3 linked regions of the Stegostoma tigrinum genome follow. The main gene of each other region encodes a partner of the protein of the gene in region 2 in a complex. Links are inferred from orthologs where the notes say so. Each region holds a gene or a part of one and is shown on either strand. Other genes may lie near its edges.

What was found. Proteins that work in one complex are often made in the same cells at the same time.
Region 1: the proteins of med7 (region 2) and med21 are in contact, whole or in part, in a cryo-EM structure (PDB 7EMF), measured with the Homo sapiens proteins. The link is inferred for Stegostoma tigrinum from reciprocal best matches to the Homo sapiens genes MED7 and MED21. Residues at the interface, in NP_001094286.1 of Homo sapiens: Phe72, Asp73, His74, Lys75, Leu78, Arg79, Asn82, Ile85, Leu86, Phe89, Leu92, Leu93, Leu96, Phe116, Val119, His120, Ile123, Asn124, Tyr126, Arg127, His129, Gln130, Arg132, Glu133, Leu135, Arg136, Met139, Glu140, Gln142, Lys143; in NP_004255.2 of Homo sapiens: Asp3, Leu5, Thr6, Leu8, Gln9, Val12, Asn13, Leu15, Ala16, Phe19, Ile23, Ile62, Ala66, Ile69, Asp70, Ile73, Asp74, Leu76, Pro77, Ser78, Glu79, Ser81, Ala83, Gln86, Ser89, Leu90, Leu93, Glu96, Asn97, His98.
Region 3: med7 (region 2) and med8 share a complex: the UniProt entries of both Homo sapiens proteins name them as parts of the mediator complex. The link is inferred for Stegostoma tigrinum from reciprocal best matches to the Homo sapiens genes MED7 and MED8.

Annotation. Positions count from the first base shown.
Region 1 is NC_081371.1:59,249,150-59,256,522, reverse strand, and holds the start of med21 (mediator of RNA polymerase II transcription subunit 21), read right to left. Parts: upstream 3,287-7,373; 5' UTR 3,227-3,286; coding exon 3,185-3,226; intron 93-3,184; coding exon 1-92. UniProt on the Homo sapiens protein: Component of the Mediator complex, a coactivator involved in the regulated transcription of nearly all RNA polymerase II-dependent genes.
Region 2 is NC_081366.1:12,400,363-12,408,638, reverse strand, and holds the start of med7 (mediator of RNA polymerase II transcription subunit 7), read right to left. Parts: upstream 3,183-8,276; 5' UTR 3,052-3,182; coding exon 2,850-3,051; intron 542-2,849; coding exon 1-541. UniProt on the Homo sapiens protein: Component of the Mediator complex, a coactivator involved in the regulated transcription of nearly all RNA polymerase II-dependent genes.
Region 3 is NC_081361.1:79,769,892-79,777,206, reverse strand, and holds the start of med8 (mediator of RNA polymerase II transcription subunit 8), read right to left. Parts: upstream 3,287-7,315; 5' UTR 3,254-3,286; coding exon 3,248-3,253; intron 3,239-3,247; exon of another isoform or gene 2,834-3,238; intron 1-2,833. Other genes in the region: KICSTOR complex protein SZT2, read left to right, coding at 3,455-3,481, 5,015-5,140, 6,020-6,193. UniProt on the Homo sapiens protein: Component of the Mediator complex, a coactivator involved in the regulated transcription of nearly all RNA polymerase II-dependent genes.

The DNA of each region.
Region 1 (7,373 bases), on a different chromosome or scaffold from region 2:
TCTTTGTTTATGGCAGTCTGAATATTTGTGAATGAAGCAGGAGGAGCACACTGCTGTAAGACACCGATGGCATTACAGAACTGGTCTGCTAACTAGAGAGAAGAAAAGAAGGCTGATTTAAAACAACACAACTATTTTTGTTGGGCAACGGTATTTCTCGTCAAGGAAAAAGATGCAAGAATGGGGCTTTTCTTTAATTCACTCATGGGATTTGGACATCGCTGGCTAGTCACATTTATTGCCTGCTCCTTGAGAAGGTGGTGGTGAGCTGTCTTCTTGAACGGCACGTGCTGGAGGTAGACCCACAATGCTGTTCAGGAGGGAGTTCTCCAATTTCAAACAAACGACAAGGTATTTCCAAATCAGTAGGTGCGCAGCATTGAGGGGAACTTACAGGTGCTGGTGCTCCCGTGCATTTATTGTCCTTGTCCTTCTAGGTGGAAGTGGTTGTGGGTTTGGATGATGTTAAGGATCTTTGGTGAATTTCTGTAATGTATCTTGTAGACAGTATATACTGCAAAGCAGTCCATATCCAAATACATCAAGATCTAGACAATATCCAGCTTGGTCTGACAAGTGGCAAATAACATTAGTGTCATCGAAATGCCATGCAATAACCACCACCCTTTGACATTCAATAGTGCTGTAGTCACTGAATATCCCACCATCAACATCCTCGACATTATCATTGATCAGAAACTGAACTGGACTGGTCACATAACACACTTGCAGGTCGGAGGCTAGGAATACTGCAAAGAGTAACTCACTCCCGACTCCGAAAAGGCTGTCAACCATCTACAAGGCACAAGTCAGGAGTGTGATGGAATATTCCCCACTTGCCAGAATGAGTGCAGCCCTAACAACATTCAAGATGCTGGACACCATCAGTACAAAACAGCCGGCCTGATTGGCACGACATCCACTCAACCAATCATCCTCTTTGGTTATTTCATTGAAACTCATGCATAAGCATCTCTTCTATCATTTAATTAGACCTGCCTTTCAGACTATCACAAGCATTTCTTCCTTTGTTCCCTTCTCTTTTACCATGCCTCTGAAGTTGCCTGAAATCGTTTACATCTCTCAACTTTTGACAGCTCTGGTGAAATGTCATCAACCTGAAACACTGACTTAGTTTTTCTTTTTAGTAATGATGCTGGGCATTGACAATCTCCAGTATAAGAGAGGGTTTTGTTTATGTACAGTGATGACCTAATTCAATGGTGGAATATTCTCAAATGGATTTTTCTATCCCTAGCAAATTATAAAGCATAGATCAAGGCAAGCAGTGCAAATTATGAACAAGTTTGACAGTCTAATCACAAGGTTGGCTCCTACCCTTCATACAAATTACATAGGTTATTTGTTGACAGCACACTGATGTGTGAAAGATGGAAGACAAATTTAAAAATGAAACAGAACATGTGGGCGTGCAAAGATTCTAAACAGCAAACTGTTCAGTAAACAGTGTTTACTCTGATTCAGTTTTGTAGCTCACCTGAAAACACATCAGAGCTGAGTGGAAACAGACTAAATTACACTTACTTACAGACAAGGAGCAGACCATTCAGCCCCTCAAACACGCTCCACCATTTAACATGATGGCTAATGTGATTGCAACCTCAAACCCAACTCCTACCTCAAGCCACCAACCTTTCACCCCCTTGCTTATGAAGAATTTAATGTCTTCTGCCTTATAAACTATTCAAAGACTCTGCTTCCACTTCTTTTTCAGGAAGCGATGCTCAGAGACACTCCACCTCAGGGAAAAATAATTCTCATCTTTTGTTGAATGGGACACCCCTTATTTTTAAACCGTAACCCCTAGTCTAGATACTCCCACAAGAAAAAACATCATCTTCACATCTACCCTATTAAGATTAAATATTTGATCAAGTCACATATTCTTCAAACCTCCAGCTGGTACGAGCCTACTGTTTCCAACCATTCTGCAAAACAACCTGCCATCCCAGGTATCGGTCTTGTGAACCATCTATAAAATGCTTCCAATGCATTTGCACCCTACCAGAAGTAAGGTGGCTAGTGATGAGCACAGTACTTCAGATGCAGTCTAGCTAGTGCCCTGAATAATAAGCATAATCGCTCTACATTTGTTATGTTCAGTATCCCTTGCAACAAAAAGAAAATTCTATTAGATTTAATTACTAAATTAGCCATCGTTAAATGCTGAAGCATGCTTCAGTAATTGACATTACAGCCTTTTGTGATGCATACACAAGGACACTTAAGTCTTCTGCAACCTCATGCCACTGAGATACATCTATTTCTAAATATTCCTTAAAAGGGACAATTTTCATTCCAAGGTCTTTACCTTGATACTCACATCTGAAAATTCTCACCATATTTCAGAATCTGATTAGAACCCATCACATTCAGCAAGATCTCAAACACACAATATCTCGCTGCGTTGAAAATAGCTTGACAGCGTGCCTCAAATAGCCTGTCCAATTGAAGGAAGGGGAGCACCACACCGTCAAGGGACCGCTGCTGTGTATTTTATAAAGACTGATCAGGGCGGCACAGTGGCTCAGTGCTTGCACATTGTGTGAGTGTCGAGAGAGACAGACAGTGAGAGTGAGAGTGGGGTCGTCCTCCAGCAGTCCAAAGATGTGCAGGTTAGCTGGACTGGCCATGGGAAATTGCACGTAGTGTCCAGGGAAGGGTGGAATAGATGGGTTGTCGTGGGGGTGCGAAGACGGTCTGAGGGTCAGTGTGGACTTGTTGGGCCGAAGAGCCGGCTCCCACACTGGAGGGAATCTATGATTCTAAACGCAGACGCTGCGAATCAGGAACAAAGACAGAAATTGCTGGAAAAGCTCAGCAGCTCTGTGAAGGAAAAGGCAAGAGTTAACGCTTAGGGGCAGGGGGCCCTTCCTCAGAACTGGACCCGAAACGTTACCCTGCACAGACCTACTCAGCTTTTTCCAGCAATTTCTGCGTATTTGATGCTGTATTAAACGAACCCCAGGCTACAGGAGGGGAGCGGCCTTCAGCCGTTGCGGGTGTTTTGGCCCTGGTCGGCATCTTGGTGGGCACGAAGACTGACCGCCCCGCAGAAGGGCGCTCCCCCGTCCCCATAACCCGCTGGGCGGGAGCGGCGCTATCACATCGGGCCCACTGCTAACCCCGGCCTCAAGTCGGGACTCTGGCCGCTCGCCCTCACCGAGTTCACGGCGTCCTGCAACTGCGTGAGGCGGTCCGCCATCGTCCAGCAAAAAGCCAACAAACCGCCCTGGCATTGGAGGAAGCTCGGGTCTACTCCCAACCAATCGTTCTCCGCTTTACTGCTAGGTGGTAGAACTGACCAATCAAGTGTCAGGCCACCACGACGAGCGGCGCGGAGCTACCCAGTCAGAGCGGGCGACCGGATAACGTAGCCAATCATCTGGGGAACATTGCGGGTAAGACGACCAATCAGTAGCTAGACTTCGATTCTCCAATAAGAGACGGGGACATTAAACCAATCACAAGGGCTATATTCACAGTCTACCCAATCAGAACCACGGGCAGCCACAGGATGGTGTTCGCATTCCCCCAATCAGCAATCAGCTTGGTCAGGTCTTATTAGCCACAAATGAATCACTGAAAGGATTGAGAGACTATCCCTGAAGATTGAATGATTGATGATTGAGTTGTTGATTGATCGATTGTCACATGCACCGAGATACAGTGAAAAGCTTTGTTTATGAGTACATGCCGATCATAGCAAGCAAGGGATGTACATATCCTAAAGGCTCAGATAGGGGTCTACAGGGTACATTGCGCAGAGATAATGGGAACTGCAGATGCTGGATGAACACAGCAGGCCCAGCAGCGTCTCAGGAGCACAAAAGCTGCTTGACCTGCTGTGTTCATCCAGCTTCACACTTTGTTACATTGCACAGGAATGTGCGCTGAGCGAGATCAGCGTTACTTCGGGTTAGAGAGTCCGCTCATCAGGCTGATAATGGCAGGGAAGGAGCTGTTCCTGAACCTGCCCATTGGTGTGTTCAAGGCTTCTGTACCTTCTGCCTGAGATAGTGGGAACTGCTGATGCCGGAGAATCTGCGAATAACAAGGTGTGGATCTGGATGAACACCGTAGACCAAGCAGCATCAGAGGAGCAGAGAGGCTGACGTTTTGGGCCTAGACCCTTCTTCAGAAAGTAATATCTGCTGCCTGATGGTGGAGGCTGTAAGAGAACATTACCAGGGTGGGATGGCTCTTTGATGATGTTGGCTCCCTTTTCGTGGCAGCAAACCATGTATTAATGGTGTCCATGGATGGAAGGTTGGCTTCTGTGATGGTCTGGGCTGTACACACCACCTTCTGTAGTTTCTTACAGTCCTGGGCAGAGCAGTTACAGTACCAGGCCATTATGCATCCGGATAGTGTGCTTTCAATGGGGTGCATCTGTAGAAGGTGGTGAGGGACCTTATGGACATGCCAAATTTCCTGATCTGCCTGAGGAGGAAGAGCACTGTTGTGCCGCCTTGATCATCGTCTCTACGTGGGAAGGCCAGGACATGTTATCAGTTATCGTCACCATGTCAACATCAGGTCTGTTGATGTAGATGGGGGTGTGTCTTCTCCTTTCTGAAATAAATCATCAGTTTTGCCAGCATTGAGAGAGAGTTTGTTCTCATTGCACCACATCACCAAGCCCTCCATCTCCTTTCTGTATTCTGACTCATCGCTGTTAGATATCTGTTCCACTACAGTGGTGTTGTCAGCAAACTTGTAGATGGTGTTTGTTCAGAATTTGGCAACACAGTCGTAGGTGTGCATGGAGTACAGCAGGGGGCTGAGAACAGATCCCTGGAAGGCTCCAGTGCTGAATGTTATTATGAAGGGGGTACAGTTACCTATCCTCACTGATTGCGGTCTGTGGGTCAGAAAGCTGAGGATCCAGTTGCAGAGGGCGGAGCTGAGACCAAGGTTATGCAGTTTCGAGATCAGTCTGCCGGGGATAATGGTGTTGGAGGAGGAGCTGTAGTCAATGAGCTGGAGTCTGATGTTGGTACCCTTGTTGTCCAGATGTTCCAGGGATGAGTGCAGGGCTGGGGATACAGCATACGCTGTGGACCTGTTACGTCGCTAAGCAAATTGTAGGGGATTGAGATGGGCTAGGAGACTAGAGTCGATGTGGGCCGTGAGCAGACAAACTAGAAATTGTGAAAAAAGCTGGCAGTAAATCTTTCCAAGTGTTATTGTTGTGCCTTACATAAGGCATAGGTGCCAAAGTAGGTTATTCAGCCCATCCAGACTGACCTTAAGACCACAGGCGTTTCCCCAGACACCAGGAAGCCACACACAAAAGAAGGATCTTGGGGTGCTTACCCATAGATCCCTAAATGTAGCAAGACAGGTCAATAGGGTAGTTCAGAAGACATATGGGATACTTGGCTTTTTCCGTACTGGAGAAAATATACTTTATTCATAAGAATTGTGTACGTGCAAAAGATGGTAAAACAGTTCCATACAGTCTGGCACAACAGGATTTGCTGATCCTCAGGATGTCGGACTGAGATGCCGTTACTGAGCCATCTTCTTTCTTCAGGCCGCTGGGCACAGAGATCTCCCTCTGCACCTACTGGAAGAAAAGCCACGTGCACTTCAATGGAGCTGAGGTGGGGAGGGTCGAGAGTATTAAGTTCCTAGGAGTGACGATAACCAACAATCCGTCCTGATCATCCTACATAGGTAAGACCATCAAGAAGGCACAACAATGCCTGTTTTTCCTCAGGCAGCTGAGGAGGTTCGGCATGCCCATAAGGACCCTCGCCAACTTTTACCGATCGACCACAGAAATCATTCTGTGTGGGTGCTTAACGGCCTGGTACGGCAATTGTTGTTCCCAGGACTGTAAGAAACTACAGAAAGTTGTGAACACAGCCCAGACTATCATACAGGCTAACCTCCCATTCATGGACTCCATCTACACTTCTCAATGTCGTCGAAAGCAAACCAACATCATCAAAGACCCCTCGCACCCCAATAACAATCTCTTCCAAACCCCCGTCAGGCAGAAAATACAGAGGCCTAAAGAAACATACAAGAACTCCCTGCAATAGGAAGAATGTTGCGAACCTTAAAAGGGTTCAGAAAAGATTTACAAAGATGTTGCCAGGGTTGGAGAGTTTGAGCTTCAGGGAGAGACTGAATAGACTGGGGCTATTTTCCCTGGAGTGTTGGAGGCTGAGGAGTGACCTTTTCGACGTTTATAAAATCATGGGGGCATGGATAGAGTGAATAGACAAGGCTTTTCCCTAGGGTTGGGGAGTGTAAAACTAGAGGGGCATTGGTTTAAGGTGAGAGGGGAAAGATTTAAAAGGGACCTAAGGAACAACATTTTCATGCAGAGGATGATGTGTATATGGAATGAGCTGCCAGAGGAAGTGATCGAGGCCGGTACATTTACACTTAAAAAGGCACCTGGATGAGTACATGAATAGGAAGAGTTTAGAGGGATATGAGCCAAATGCTGGCAAATGGGACTAGATTTATTTTCAATATGCGGTCAGAATGGACAAGTTGAATGGAAGGGTCTGCTTCTATGCTGGACATCTCTATGACCCTTATCACTCTAAGAACAGCTTCTTCCCCTGATGTTATTAGATTGCTAAATGGACCTCTCTAATTTCGAATCTAATGTTGATCTTGCTTTGCGCACCTCCTGTGCAACCTGACCTTGTATGCCTCACTCTGTCTAAACGCCCTACAATCTGTATGTCCATGTATGATCTGCCTGCACTCTATGCAAAACAAAACATTTTAGTGTACTTCGGTGTGTGTGACAACAATAAATCAAATCAAACGTTCATCCTGCTCCATGTGCAGACCCTGGACTGGAAGATTACCTTGCAGGCCTCTGAGGAAAGCAGCAAGACTCTTAGAGATCCTCTGTGACACTGATCCCTATCACCTGCACCAGGACTGGGTTCTGCTTGCGTTTCTGGAGTTTGTCAAGCTTACCTGTTTGTCTCTCGCTCTCTCTTTCCCTCCCCCTTACACACACCTCATGAACACCGTTGAGGATAAAGAACCTCTTGACGTTCTACTGCCCCACTCTGGGATTGTTGGCCTGACTTACAAACTCAAGCCTCTAGAGACAGACTTGAGCTGAACATCTGAAGCCAGGCCACTGCACGCTGAGTCACAATCGACAGGCAAATAGGTTCAGAATAACCAGCTGCAGTTAGGGTGCTGAAACTCACATCATCATAAGAGGCTAAATGGCCTCTTTCTGTGCAGTAATTTCCTGTGATCGCAAGGTTACATTGTACATGCTAAGCTGCGAAGATAAAGTAACTGAAGGCTATGGATTGCTTGGGATTATATGTTATTTATAGATTCAAAATGACCACGGGGAA
Region 2 (8,276 bases):
TCATCAGGAAGTGAGGAGAGGCTGCTCTGGATCAGCTCCATCACCCGGTCCAGATGCTTTTGAAAGCGTTCAGCCGTCTCTAGCCGCTGCCGCTTCTGCACCTCCATCATTACACGCAACGTCTCCCGGGCCTGGTGGGGGCGGTACTCGTTGATCAGATGATGCATGTGAACAAACAGGAGTTTGAGGTCCTCCAGTTTCTCCTCTCGTTTTATGCTCCCGGGGCTTTTGATCAGGATGTCCAGTAAGTCCAAGAAGTTCACCAGGATTGACATGTTGAGTTTCTTGAGCTCTTTCTTGTGGTCGAACTGTGAAGGGTGGAGCCTCTCGATGCCCTGGCCCTCCAATGGACGGATGATCAAGTCGTCGCACTGGAACTGGTTGCCAAACATAGTGTAGCTGTCCCTGATGGGAGGTGGTGGCTTAGGAGCAAAGCCTTTGCGGACATTGTCGTCTGTGTACTCCTTATAGTACTGTGCTGGAGGCAGAGGCAACGCACTCACCTGCTGTGGCTCACCCATTGCACTCAATGTAACTGGATCTGCAAAAGGGGAAAAAAAAAGGAACAACCTCAAAACCTTGGTTTTAGTCTTCAATCCAGCAAAGTTGCCACTCAAAGCCTATCCTCTGGTTTTGTGTTAATTTTAAAATTCTCATCCTTGTTTTTAAACTCCAAGGCATCAGCCCTGCCTATTTACATAGCTTCACCAGCCCTAAAAGACCACTGAACCCCTTCAATCTCAGCCTCTTGTTTATCTCCAACTGTCACTGGCAACTGGGCCTCTGGCTGACAAGGCCCTGATCACCAATATCCCTCTCCTAAATCTCAAAAGCTCTGTTACCTCCTTTAAGATATTCATTAAAATTCATTTACTGTTATGTCCTCATCTGGCTCAATGTCAAAATCTGTCTGACAGACGTTCCTATGAAGCACCTGGGTTAGTTCAGGCACTGTGAACAGTTTGTGTTCAGAGATATAATACAATGCAGAGGAGGTCTTTCAGTCCACTGTTTGGCTGGCTCTCCAAATAAGCAATTCATCTTGTGCCTTCTCCACATAACCCTGCATTCGTCATTTCCAGATCATAAACTAATTCCCTTGTGTTTTGCTTCCCTCTTGCACGCCTGAATGGCTTATTATTCTGTGTATTGGTTTCAAGCAGATACTGACTAGGCCACCTCAGAACTTAATCACATCGAGTCTGTGTAGAAATCACAGCAGCCTCAGAATAATGCATACAATACAAAGTTTAAGTCTCACCAAGCAGCTCAAGAATTATTTAAAATGAATTGGCAATAAATTACAGCTGTCAGTATATGACCATGAAGCTGTCAGATTGTCATAAAAATCCATTCTGTGATCCAAGCCTTTATATAAAACATATAGAGCAGCACGAGAACAGTCCCTTTGGCCCACCATGTCTGTGCTGACCAGCATTCTAGGGCTACATGGTGGCTCCATGGTTAGCACTGCTACCTCACCGTGCCAGGGACCCAGGTTCAATTCCACCCTTGGACAACTGTCTGTGTGGAGTCTGCACACTCTCCTCCGGGTAATCTGGTTTCCTCCCACAGTCCAAAGATGTGCAGGTTAGGTGGATTGGCTAAGCTAAATTGCATGTAAAATTCAAGGCTCTGTAGATTAGGTGGGTAAAAGGGGCATGGGTCTGGTTGGGATGCACCAAGAAGTGGTGTAGACTTGTTGGGCCAAAGGGCCTGTTTCTACACCGTAAGGATTCTAATTCTAAACTAATCTCATCTGCCCACACATGGTCCATATCTCTCTAATCCCTGCCTGTTCATGTGTCTGTCTAACTGCCTCTTTAATGTTTCTAGTATATTTGCTTCTACCACCGCCCCTGGCAATGTGTTCCAGACACCTACCACCCTACGTGTAAAAACTGTTCTCACATCTCCTTAACTTTCCCCATCTCATTTTAATCCTATGCCCCCTCGTATTTGACATTTCCACCCTGGGGAAAAGACTGACTACCCCCATCTGTGTCTGTAATAATTTTATTTCAGGTCAGCCTGCAGCTTTTGATGCTCCAACGAAATCAATCAAAGTTTGTCCAACCTCTCCTTATAGCTAGTACACTCCGCTTCCCAGACCGGGGAAGGGGGCGTGGATTAACCTCCACATCCCAGATGGGAGGGGATTAACCCCCAGACAGACAGCAGATATTAACCCCTTTTCACAGACAGGAGGTATTAACACTTTTCCCCCAGACAGCGGGGGTTAACCCCCTCCTAGACCAAGGGGGGGGGGAATTAAACTACAGACGGGGGGGGGGGATTAAAACCCACACAGACGGGGGGGGGAAGAGAGAATTAAACCCCACACAGACGGGGGGGGGGGGGGAGAGAATTAAACCCCACACAGACGGGGGGGGGGGGGGGGGAGAGAATTAAACCCCACACAGACGGGGGGGGGGGGGGGGGGGGAGAGAATTAAACCCCACACAGACGGGGGGGGGGGGGAGAGAATTAAACCCCACACAGACGGGGGGGGGGGGGGGGAGAGAGAGAATTAAACCCCACACAGACGGGGGGGGGGGGGGGAAGAGAGAATTAAACCCCACACAGACGGGGGGGGGGGGAGAGAATTAAACCCCACACAGACGCGGGGGGGGGATTAAACCCCACCCCATTCCCATTCATACAGTGGAGGGAATAACACGCCCCTACCCTCCACAGACATGGTGATTAGGTAACCCACTCCCCACCTGACCGGGGGAAGGGGGGAACGGGAAACATTCTCTCCCCACCCCCACACAACGGGGGGGTACAGGGATAACTAGAAAGGGAGGTGCGGAGGCCGAATCTCTCTCCAATGATCTAGGACTAACCGCCTGCGGAGTTCCCAATGTTGCGGTACAAAACCGTGGGGAAGATCTCAGCCGCCGGCGCAGAGCCGGGCTCGGAGAGGCACAGGCCACATCCCCGACCTCGCGTACTCACCGCCACCGCCGAACGCCGTGGCCAGGCCAGGCTAGGCCAGCTCCCATTGGTTAAAGCAGCCGCAAATCGCGGCACGGTACAGCGTCCCATTGGGTAGATAGGCTGCCACTCACAGTGACGTAGCGAGTCAGCGCCCTTACTCGGGGATAATGAAATGTGAGGCTGGATGAACACAGCAGGACAAGCAGCATCTCAGGAGCACAAAAGCTGATGTTTCGGGCCTTGACCCTTCATCAGAGAGAGGGATGGGGTGAGGGAACTGGAATAAATAGGGAGAGAGGGGGAGGCGGACCGAAGATGGAGAGTAAAGAAGATAGGTGGAGAGGAGAATATAGGTGGGGAGGTAGGGAGGGGATAGGTCAGTCCAGGGAAGACGGACAGGTCAAGGAGGTGGGATGAGGTTAGTAGGTAGATGGGGGTGCGGCTTGGGGTGGGAGGAAGGGATGGGTGAGAGGAAGAACCGGTTAGGGAGGCAGAGACAGGTTGGACTGGTTTAGGGATGCAGTGGGGGGAGGGGAAGAGCTGGGCTGGTTGTGTGGTGCAGTGGGGGGAGGGGACGAACTGGGCTGGTTTAGGGATGCAGTAGGGGAAGGGGAGATTTTGAAACTGGTGAAGTCCACATTGATACCATTAGGCTGCAGGGTTCCCAGGCGGAATATGATTCCACATTAAGCAGAGGTTCACCTGCACATCTGCCAATGTGGTATACTGTATCCATTGTACCCGGTGTGGCTTCCTCTACATTGGGGAAACCAAGCGGAGGCTTGGAGACCGCTTTGCAGAACACCTCCGCTCAGTTCGCAACCAACTACTGCACCTCCCAGTCGCAAACCATTTCCACTCCCCCTCCCATTCTCTAGATGACATGTCCATCATGGGCCTCCTGCACTGCCACAATGATGCCACTCGAAGGTTGCAGGAACAGCAACTCATATTCCGCCTGGGAACCCTGCAGCCATATGGTATCAATGTGGACTTCACCAGTTTCAAAATCTCCCCTTCCCCCACTGCATCCCTAAACCAGCCCAGTTCGTCCCCACCCCCCACTGCACCACACAACCAGCCCAGCTCTTCCCCCACCACCCACTGCATCCCAATACCAGTCCAACCTGTCTCTGCCTCCCTAACCGGTTCTTCCTCCCACCCCAAGCCGCACCCCCATCTACCTACTAACCTCATCCCACCTCCTTGACCTGTCCGTCTTCCCTGGACTGACCAATCCCCTCCCTACCTCCCCACCTATACTCTCCTCTCCACCTATCTTCTTTACTCTCCGTCTTCGGCCCGCCTCCCTCTCTCTCCCTATTTATTCCAGTTCCCTCTCCCCATCCCCCTCTCTGATGAAGGGTCCAGGCCTGAAACGTTAGCTTTTGTGCTCGTGAGATGCTGCTTGGCCTGCTGTGTTCATCCAGCCTCACATTTTATTATCTTGGAATTCTCCAGCATCTGCAGTTCCCATTAGCCCTTACTCGGGGAACTGTTGCAGAATCGCGCATGCGCATGTCTCAATCCTTGTTTCATTAACAGGAAATGAGACTGGGGGGAATTAACACTCCCTCATGCACACATTGGTAATTAGCTGACTGTTCCCACCAGTGACTGGGCAGCATTTATTACCCAGGGTCAGCCACATTTCTGTCGGACTGGAGTCACATGTAGGCCAGATCAGCTTTCTTCCCTGAAGAACATTAGTGAACCAAAAACAAAGTTGCTGGAAAAGCTCAGCAGGTCTGGCAGCATCTGTGGAGGAGAAAACAGAGTTAACCTCAGGGAGGTGAGCCTCCCTCAGAACTGAGGAAGTAACTTTGCTTTAGCTCCTGATTTACAGCATTTGCAGTTCTTTTGGTTTTTATTTAGTGTTTAACTCACTGCCACATCTCTTCCAGGCATGCCCACCTTGAAGAGGCTCTACTTTCTCCGATGGGATTTCAGTTCCAATCTCTATTCGTGCCTAGTTCTGAGGAAGGGTCACCAGACCTGAAATGTTGACTCTGTTTTCTCCTCCACAGATGCTGCCAGACCTGCTGAGTTTTTCCAGCAACTTTATTTTTGTTCCTGATTTATAACATCTGCAACTCTTTGGAATTTTTATTAACATTAGTGAACCAGATGGGTTTTTCCTCCAACCTTTGACAATAGATTTGTGGTCATCATTAGACTCTTAATTCCAAATATTTATTCAATTTCCACCATCTGCTGTGGCAGGACTTGAACCTGGGTCTCCAGATTATTATCTGAGTCTCTGGATTAACAGTCCAGCTATAATACCACGAGGCGATCGCCTCCCCCAAGTACAAATACACTGTCCCACCCCAGGGAACCCTTGTAAACTCTGACACACTTCACTTGTGCTTTCTCTAAATATTGACATGCTCCCTAGACTACACTTCGTTGGTTGTCAAAGCTTTGAGATATTCTGTAAAGAAGCATTATATAAATGCAGCGATTGTAAGAACTGCCGATGCTGGAGTCTGAGATAACAAGGTGTAGAGCTGGAGGGACACAGTGGGCCAGGCAGCATCAGAGGAGCAGGGAAGCTGATTTTTTTTTTGGATCAGGATGCTTCTTCGGAAAAAAAAATTCTGAAGGGGGTCCCAACCCTGAAACGTCAGCTTTCCTACTCCTCTGATGCTGCCTGGCCTGCTGTATCCCTCCAGCTCCACGCCTTATTATATAAACGCAGATCTTTCTTGATGTGAAAACTTAGCACAGCAGTGCCTTCACTGGCAATGGGCGAATTACAATTTGATAACAATACGTGTGTTAAGTTAGAATTTATAAGACAGAAGATGCATGTGGAAAGCACATTTTAAATATATAGTAGTTAGACACTAGATATTATTTATGATTATGTATGTCCACATCTTTTACATCCATCTTTTGTTGTTCTATATCAAATACAAAAATCATAAGTTTGAATAATATTCACTGTCTGCTATTTGGAAACAGCCAGCATTTTAGAATTAGAATTAGAATTAGATTTTTATTGTCACATGTACAGGGATGTAGAAGTACAGTGAAAAGTTTTCAATGGCGCCATCTAAGACACAAGGAACCTAAGTACGAAATCTTAGATAAAGAGGAAAAGAATGAAGAAATAAGTTAAAAGTTCAACATTACAGCTCAGGTCAGTATAAATCAGTGATTACGAAATAATGTTAAAAGTTAATGCCGTTGGTCCCAGTGGAGGGCGATGTCACTATGCAATCCCTTGGCTGTGCTGGGTGGCAGTGTTGGGCCATGTGTCAGTGCTCTTCCCCTCAGTTATGTCCTCAGTCTATTTCAAACTTCTTGGTGGACATTGAAGTAGGTCTGAAGAATAGAGCCAGTGTTGTAATGTGTGTGTTTGTGCTTCAGCACCAAAGATCTGAAGCCTTTAGCTTTTCGCCACCCTGTCAGAGAATTACAAGCCTGGTAGACCCATGTCTCCCTCTTCCTGAGAAGACCAAACATCGACATTAGGAAGCTGAGGCTGTGAATCTCAAGCTTGAATACAAGGGACATTTATCAGTTACATTGATACATTGGTGAAGTGTGGAGATTGGAGCAGTTCTTCTCAGTACAGAGAATGTTAAATGAAATTTGAATGAGGTGTTAAAAATCACAAAATGTCAGACTGAAATGTCAGCTTTCCTGCTCCTAAGATGCTGCTTGGCCTGCTGTGTTCATCCAGCTCTACATCTTGTTATCCCAGATAGCATGAAACTATTTCTATTGGCAGAAGGGTCAAAACCGTAAGACCACATGACTGGGAGATGATAGCCTATTGGTATTATCACTAGACTATTAATCTGGATACCCAGGAAATGTCGTGGGGGAAAGGACATCACAATGGCAGATGGTGGAATTCGATTTCAGTATTTTAAAAAATCTGTATTAAGATTCTAATGACCATGAAACCATTGTCAGGGAAAACCCTATCTAGCTCACTAACGTCCTTTATGGAAGGAAATCTGCCATCCTTAAATGGTCTGGCCTACATATGACTCCAGATCCCCATCAATGTCCTGCCCCCTTCTGAAAATGCTGCACTTTGCTCTCTCAGGGTCCAACCCTAACTTTGTTTCCAAACCAGTTGACAAAGGTGTTGCTATTGTCGTCTGGAGCGCTGACCTTTATCTTGCAGAGGCTCAATGCCATCTCTCTGACACTTCCTCCCACCTGCCCCTGGACCATGACCCCACATACGAACATCAACCCATCATTGCTAGGACTGTCACTGATCTCATTACCTCAGGAGATCTCCCCCCTAGTGCCTCCAATGTTCTCACAGCGCCTTCCTTGTAACTGCAGAAGGTGCAACACCTCACCCTTCACTTCCTCCCTGCTCACCATCCAAAGGCCTAAGCAGTCTTTCTAGGTGAAGCAGCATTTCACAGCAATGTGGATGACTCTTAACTGCCCTCTGGCAATTAGGGATGGCCAATAAATGCTGGCTATAGTCAGTGGTGGCCATATTCCATGAATGAATGAGAAAAAGGAGCAGATGTAGGCTACACAGCCCAATGAGTCTGCTCTGTCATTCAATGACATCATGTCAAATCTGATAACCCTCAACTCCACTTCCCTGCCATTTCCCCACAACCTCTGATTCCTTTAATAATTAAAATTCTGTCTAGCTATCCTCAGGACCCAGCACCAAACCTTGAGGCACACTGCAGATCACAGGCCTGTTGTCTGAACAACAGCCCTGTCCCACCACCCTCTGTCTCCTGCTTCTCTGAAAGGATTGTGAGTCTATGGAATTTAGTACCCTAGAGCCTGGTGGACACTGGGAGTCTGAATAAATTTAGGGGAATCCTGAGGGACAGGATTTACATGTGTTTGGAAAGGTGAAGATTGATTAGGGATAGTCAACATGGCTTTGTGTGTGGGAAATTGTGTCTCACTAACTTAATTGAGTTTTTTGAACAAGTAACGAAGAGGATTGATGAGGGCAGAGCAGTAGACATGATCTGTATTGATTTAAATAAAGCATTTGACAAAGTTCCTCATGGTAGACTGGTTAGCATGGCTAGATGACACAGAATAGAGGGAGAACTAGCTATTTGGATATAGAACTAACTCCATAGTAGAAGTCAGAGGGTGGTGGTGGAGGGTTGCTTTTCAGACTGGAGGCCTGTGACCAGTGGTGTGCCACATGGCTCAGTGCTGTGTCAGCTGCTTTTTATCATTTATATAAATGATTTGGATGTGAACATAAAAGATATGATTTGTAAGTTTGCAGATGACACCAAAGTTGGACGTGCAGTGGACAGTGAAGAAGGTTACCTCAGAGTACACCAGGATCTTGATCAGATGGGCCAATGGGCTGA
Region 3 (7,315 bases), on a different chromosome or scaffold from region 2:
CAAGCAAATTTGTTTAGAACATAGAACATTACAGCACAGTACAGGCCCTTCGGCCCTCAATGTTGTGCTGACCTGTCATACCGATCTCAAGCCCATCTAACCTGCACTATTCCACGTATGTCCATATGCTTGTCCAATGATGACTTAAATGTACCTAAAGTTGGTGAATCTAACTGAATCAATTTCAGTTTCTGACAAAAAATTGCACGCCTGACCACTGCGTGGTGTTTAATGACATCTTGCACCATTTACAGAATTTATATAAAAGTATGTATCAATTGCAGCAGTTTGTAGTACTCTTGAGTGAGTCAAAAGGTGTTTCACTTGGTCCCACTCCAGATGTTAAAACACAAATCTAGGATAACACCCAGCACAGTACTATCAGAGATGAGGTCTTTCAGATAATATGTTAAAGTTCGGAGCTACTGGATGAACACAAATAAAAATGACACCATGAGAAAAACAAGCACCATCCCCAGTGTCTTGGCCAACAATTATCCTCCAACTAATCTCAGCAAACACTATCCGGTCACTATCACATTGTCAAGCAATCTGCACTAATTAAAAACCAAAAGAACTATGGATGCTGTAAGTCAGAGACAAAATTGAAATTGCCGGAAAAGCTCAGCAGGTCTGGCAGCATCTGTGGAGGGAAATCAGAGTTAACTTTTGGAGTGACCCTGAGAACTGAGAAAGGGTCACTTAGCCCAAAAAGTTAACTGCTTACTCTCCACAGATGCTGCCAGTCCTGCTGAGCTTTTCCAGCAATTTCTATTTTTGACTCTGCACTAATTGGTTGCTGCATTTCCTACAGAACAATAGGGCCTACACTTCATTTCTCTAGGATCTGATTTTTTGCATCTGTAATATTTTGCTTCCACTGTAACATCCTGCAGAGCTGCATTAAGACTGAGATAGTGAAAAGTGCAGCATAGATGCAAGTACTTCTTCCTTTGAAGAACTAGACTTGCATTCATAGTACAGTACAGCATAGAAACAAGGCCCTTTGGAGCAAAATGTCTTTACCAGCTTTGATGCTGCCACATCATCTGTAACCCTCTACATCCTGCCTGTTCACGTATCTGCTTAAACACTTCTTAAAGTTTGTAAACATATCTGCTACTACCACCTCCTCGGCAGCATGTTCCAAGCACCTACCACCCTGTACAAATCTTTCCCCCTCTCAACTTAAACATTTGCTCCCCGTAGTATTTGACATTTCCATGCATGCAAAAGACCCTGACTATCCACCCTATCCATGCTTCTCCTATTTTTATATACTTTTATTAGGTTGCACCTCAGCCTCCAAAGCTCAAGTGAAAACCATCCAAGTTTGTCCAATCTCTCCTCATAGCTAATACTCTCCAATCCAGATGATATCATGGTAAAGGTAACAAGGTGTAGAGCTGGATGAACACAGCAGGGCAGGCAGCATCAGAGGAGCAGGAAAGGTGACGTTTTGGGTCTGTTCCCTTCTTTATGGTAAGCCTCTTTTACAACCTCACCAAAGTTTCCACATCCTTCTCACAGTGTCGAGACCAGAACTGCACATAATAGTTTAAATGTGGCCTAAAGAAAGTCTTAAGTCTTATACAGCTGCAACGTGACTTGCCATATTTTATACTTAATGTCCCAACCAATGAAGGGAGGCATTCTGTATGCCTTCTTTACCATCTTATTCACTTGTGTTGCTACTTTCAGGGAGCCATGGACTTGGACTCCAAGATCCCTCTGTGTATCCATGCTCCTCAGGGTGTTACCATTAATTGTATGCTTTTTCTTGTATTTGATTTCCCAAAATGCATTACCCCACATTTGTCTGGATTAAACACCATTTCTCCACCCACATTTCCAATTGATCTCTATCATAAAGCCCTTTCTATGCACACCACATCTCCTAAAGTGCCTTTATGATATTTTATATTGAAATCAAAAGACATTGCAGATGCTGGAAATGATGTGCAGTCACTTAATGTCAGAAATGCAGCAGCGAAATTTGCACACAGCAAAATCCCACAAAGTCTTGGCATTTTTACTACATGCAGTGGCACAACGGCTGCGGTTAGCAATGTTGTCTCCTACTGCCAGGGACTTGGGCTCAATTCCACCTTCTGGCAGCTGTCAGTGTTGAGTCTGCATGGGTTTCCTCTGGGTGTTTTGGTTTCCTCCCACTGTCTAAAGATGTGCATGTTAGGTAGACTGGCAATGTTAAATTGCCCATAGTGTCCAGGGATATGGAGGCTATAGATGGGTTAGCCACGGGAAATGCAGGGTTATGGGACAGCAGTTTGGTTGGGATAACACAATGGACCGCTTCCACACTGTAGGATTCTATGATGGAAAGAGGCACTACAACTCGTCATGCTAATGCTGGTCACAAAGCATCTATCTACTGTAATCCCAGTTTTCAACATGTGGCATGAAGCCTTGTATGCTACGACATTTCAAGTACTCATCTAAATACTTCTTAAATTAATTGAGGTTTTCCACTTCTACCACCCTTCAGGGCAGAGAGCTTCAGATACCAACCACCCTCAGTGAAAAAAAATTCCTCAATTAGTCTATAAATTTCCTGCTGCTTTCTGTAGAACTGCACCCCTGGTTATTGACTCCTCTGCTAAGGGGAAAAGTTCCTCTCTATCTACCCTTCAAACATTTATACACCTGAATAAGGTGGATCACTGTTCTCTGCTCTGAAACAACCCCAGCCTGTCTTTCCTCTCTTCAGAGCTAAATCACTCCAGCCGAGGCAACGTCCCGGTGAATCAGTTCTGAAGAAGGGTCACTGGACTCGAACTTTAACTCCGCTTCCTCGCCACAGATGCTGCCATACCTGCTGAGTTTTCCCAGCAACAGCCGTTTTTGATCCTGGTGAAACTTCCTCTACGCGCTCTGCAGCACAATCACATCTTTCCTACCGCACAGCGACCAAAAATGCGCACAGTTCAGCTGCGGCCTAACTAACGTGACGCACAGCCTCATCGTAAATCTCGATGTTCTCGTAGTTAACACACACACTGATCAAGTCCAGAGCTGATGTGCCTGCTTAGCCTGTCCTGCTCTCTTCGAGTCTCCAGCCCACAAATGCCATGACGAGCTGAGGACTGAAAGTCTCTACACTGCGAGGGGAAAACGGGATGGATTCGGGCGGGGGGGGAACACGAGTGGAAGTGATTTCCTCCGACAAATGAGTTACTGTGAGGGTCGAGCTCAAGGGGACGATCCAGTCCCGCTGACGACCCCTTACCTGCATGGCAACCCCAGCCGCTACCTCCCGGTTTCCGGTTCCGGGCGACGGGGCCAGGGGTCAGAGGTGACGTGTATGTAGGTTGATTGGGGGAGGGGGGCGGTGTGCCGGGAGATGAACCGGGAGCGGCAGAGTGCTGCGATTCTAATCGATAGGCGGCGGGGCGGAAGGCCGGCCGGCCGGTGGGCATGAGAGCGGCCATCGAGCATGTCTGGGGGAGAGAGAGACTCCGAGGTAAAGGGAAGGGCCCAGGTTGGGGTGCGGTGTCAGCAAACAGTGAGGGGCGGCCCCGTGGAGGGCACGGGACATGTACAGTAAGGTCCGTGCGACCCTGCCTTCTGCACGCAGCTCCTTAAACTTTGCTAGCATAGGATTTACGGCTCTCCGTCTGATTGTTTTTTTTCTTCTCGTGTCGGAGAGTTAAAAACCCAGTGAGCTGCACATGAATAAATACGCGTTTGGGACTGTCAGAACAGCAATGACAGCTCCCGTGTTTGTTCTGGAGGAGGTTGCTGTGTCATCAGTGAACTCCGAGTTTCATCAGCTGACCCAACTTTGGAGAGGACTCCTGAGATAAATTATTTCCCACTGTCTCCAGCGTGGCTAGAATTTGCATCCTCAGTGATGGACGACAGACACATGCTGGGGTGGCCAGTGATGCCGACATCCTGTGAATCAACAAACCACAGTGTCTTGTAGGGGCTTTTATACGCTGCCTGTGCTACTTGTTGTTAACAGTCAAAATATGAAATGCTTCCTGGGCAAGCAGAAGACATCTGCTTGCCTCACACCATGGAATCTTGACACATGTTGTCTGGGTCTATGCGCTTTAAGTCTTGTTTATAAGGTCCTCAAATTTTGCTAATTGTGCAGATAAGCACTCATATCATATCAGAAAACTAGTATATTTGGATAAAATTAACTAAAGCTGGTATGTAGATGATAAAAAAGCAATATCAAACCACAGCAAATGTAGGAGCTAATTTTTGGAGCAATAGTATAAAAAAATGACTGACAAAAATATAGCCATTGGAACCTGTGGAATTTTGAGGAAATATACCTGGTGAGTATGCGTTGTATGTTTGGAAATTTCTTTTGGTGATATCAAAGGGTGTGTTTAGTTGGAGCTCCAGTGCAACGATCAGATCATGTCCTGTGACAAGATGTTTCCTGTAACTAATATAGTTGGCTTTATGTCACATCAGACTTGCAGGATAACAACTCTGATGCTTTTAAATATTTCTTTGCCTGCTGGGAGATTGTGATGTTTCACAAAATGGTTGTGTTTGGCTACTGAAAAATGTCTGGTTCTGAATATCAGGGGAAAAAAAATAGAAGTAGTAAATTCTCTTTTGGGTTTAACATGAACTTTTCATGATCATCTATGATCATATTGAATGGTGGTGCAAGCTTGAAGGAAAGAATGCTTACTCCACCTATTTTCTATGTTTGCAAGAAGTAAAGAGAGACATAGGAAGGTATCTACTTCCAATTAGAAATGCTATATTTGATTTAATAACCTTTTTCTTGCTGATGAAGTGTAAAATGGACTTCCATTGAGTGCCTTAGTTGCTTAATTTTATGAGAAGTTAATCGAAGGACCAAAGAAAGAAAGCAAACTAAGGAGCAGAAAGAAAATCACTCAAATCTCATTGATGCAAAATCATCCAAGTATTTATAGTCTTATTAATGTGTGATCTTGTATACTAGTAGAGCTTCTGGTGACCTAAAGTTCTAGTTCCAAGTCACATACTTTTGTTTTGACAGGTGGAAGAAGCAGGACAGGTTTTCTTGCTTATGAAGAAGGAATATCGGATTTCCCGCAATGTAAGATTAGCTTGGTTTCTCAACAGACTGAATCAAAGCATTCGACCGATGTCCACGTCAGAGCTTGTGAGTGAAACGGTGCCTTGAATTGTTCTGTGACCTCTTTGTGAGAACATGGATGAAGTAGTGGGAACCTAATATGGTGTATTAATCTTTGCATGAAAAGTAAATTGCAATCTCAGTACATTGGGAGAAAATTAGATGGTCATGTTCTTAGTTTAAAATATCTATTTGTAACACAAGTATTTTCAGGACATGTTAGAATAGATAATTACACTAATGTAATTGCCCTGTTGTTTTCTGAAATGACTGAGAATGTGAACTCATTAATTTTTTCCGCCCTCCCCCACCACCGACTCAAACAAAGGACACAGCGTCCAACTGAAGTGAAAAAAATATAATATTTGTGAATTGAAATTGGGACCTTCTTGGTCTGCATGGCTCAGTTTGACATAATAGAGTGCTGGTAGCCACTGAGCCAACATGCAAAATCTCCTGATATTACCCAAGATTGTGGATTGATCATGCAATGATGGGAAGCCCTAGTGATTCTGAGAAAATCTGTAATTTTTTTCCCCCTTCAGCTGTTGATCCAGTTCCCTTTTGAACCTGCCTCCTCCATATTCTGAGGAAGTGCATTTGAAATTGTAACCACTCCCTGCGTAGAAGTTTTTTCCTCACATTGATTTTGCTAATCAACCCAAATTGGTGGTGTTTTATTTTTGTCCTTCTGCCAGTGGACATAGATCCTGGCAGTGTTGGAGTGAACCTATCTGTAAGCTTTTTCAGACATTTCTATCAAATTTCTTATTAATCTCTAAGGGGAACAATCTCAGCATCTTTCATTTATTCAGTAATTGAAGTCCTTTTATTCCTTTTTGCTTTATAATAGTTGTAACATATGCCATTGTGATGCATCTCACAATTATCCTTTCTCTCTTACAGAGCAACTCCAACAATGAATTGGATGTTCTCAGTGTCCTACCAAAAGGCTGGCAACCAGATGAACCAGTTGCTGATCAAACGTACCAACTGGTACCCTCAACCACTATTACCTTCCTTGCTCAGCGATACCGCTTTGTTATTGAGCTGGATCTCAGTCCATCTACAGGGATTGTGGTGAGTAATTGTTGCATTTGGTGGGAAGAGAGAGAGGTGGCACGGTGGCTCAGTGGTTACCCCTACTGTCTCACAACACCAGGGACCAGGGTTTGATTCCAGCCTTAAGTGCCTGTCTGCATGGGGCTTGCATGTTCACCCTGTGTCTGCTTGGGTTTCTGCTGGTTGATTTGGTTTCCTCCCACAGTCCAAAGATGTGCAGTTTAGGTGGATTGGCTATGTTCAAGTGTTCCATAGTGTCTACAGATGTGCAGGCTAGGTGGACTAGCCATGGTAAAAGCAGGGTTATGGGGATCAGGTGGATGGCTGGGTCTTGAAAAGATGCAGTACCAAGGGTCAGTGCAGATTCGATGGGTTGAATGGACTCTGTCCGCACAGTGGGGATACTGTGATTAAATTTGAAGCTATCGAAAGTGAACATCTCAATAAATATTTTGAATTTCATCAGCTTTGACAAAAAGTTTTCTTTAATTACATGTATGCATATTTTAAAATATTTTATTTGAAGAGATGCTGGTGTACAGGATGAACAGCGTTTATTTCCCATCTCTAATTGCCCTTGAGAAGGTGGTGGTATGCCGCCTTCTTGAACCACTGCAGCCCATGTGACGTCAGTGGATTTTAATTGAGTGATCTTGTCGGAATGGCGACATGGTTTGTTGTCAGGATGTTAATGGCTTAAAGAGGAACTTGCAGGCGTTTGAATTTCCATGTATCTGTTACCCTTGCTCTTCTAGGAAGTGGAGATCAAGAGTTTGGAAGGTATTTTCTAAGGACCCTGTGTGAGTTGTAAACAGTGAACAGTGCAGCCACAGTGTTTCATGGTGTTGGTTAAATTGCCAATCACTTGGGCTGTTTAGTCCTGGATGGTGTCATGCTTCTTGAGTATAGTTGGAACTGCACCTGTGCAGACAAGTAGGGAGTGTTCTGTCATATTCCTGACGTGTGTGTGTAGATGATGGACAGATATTGGGGAGACAGGGTGAGTTACTTCTCTCAGAAGTTGCAGCCTCTGACCTGCTGTTATAGCCATGTTATTTATGTAACTATTACTGTTCAGTTTTTGATCAGTTATGACTCCCTTGAATGTTGACAGCGGGGGATACAGCGATGGTAATGCCA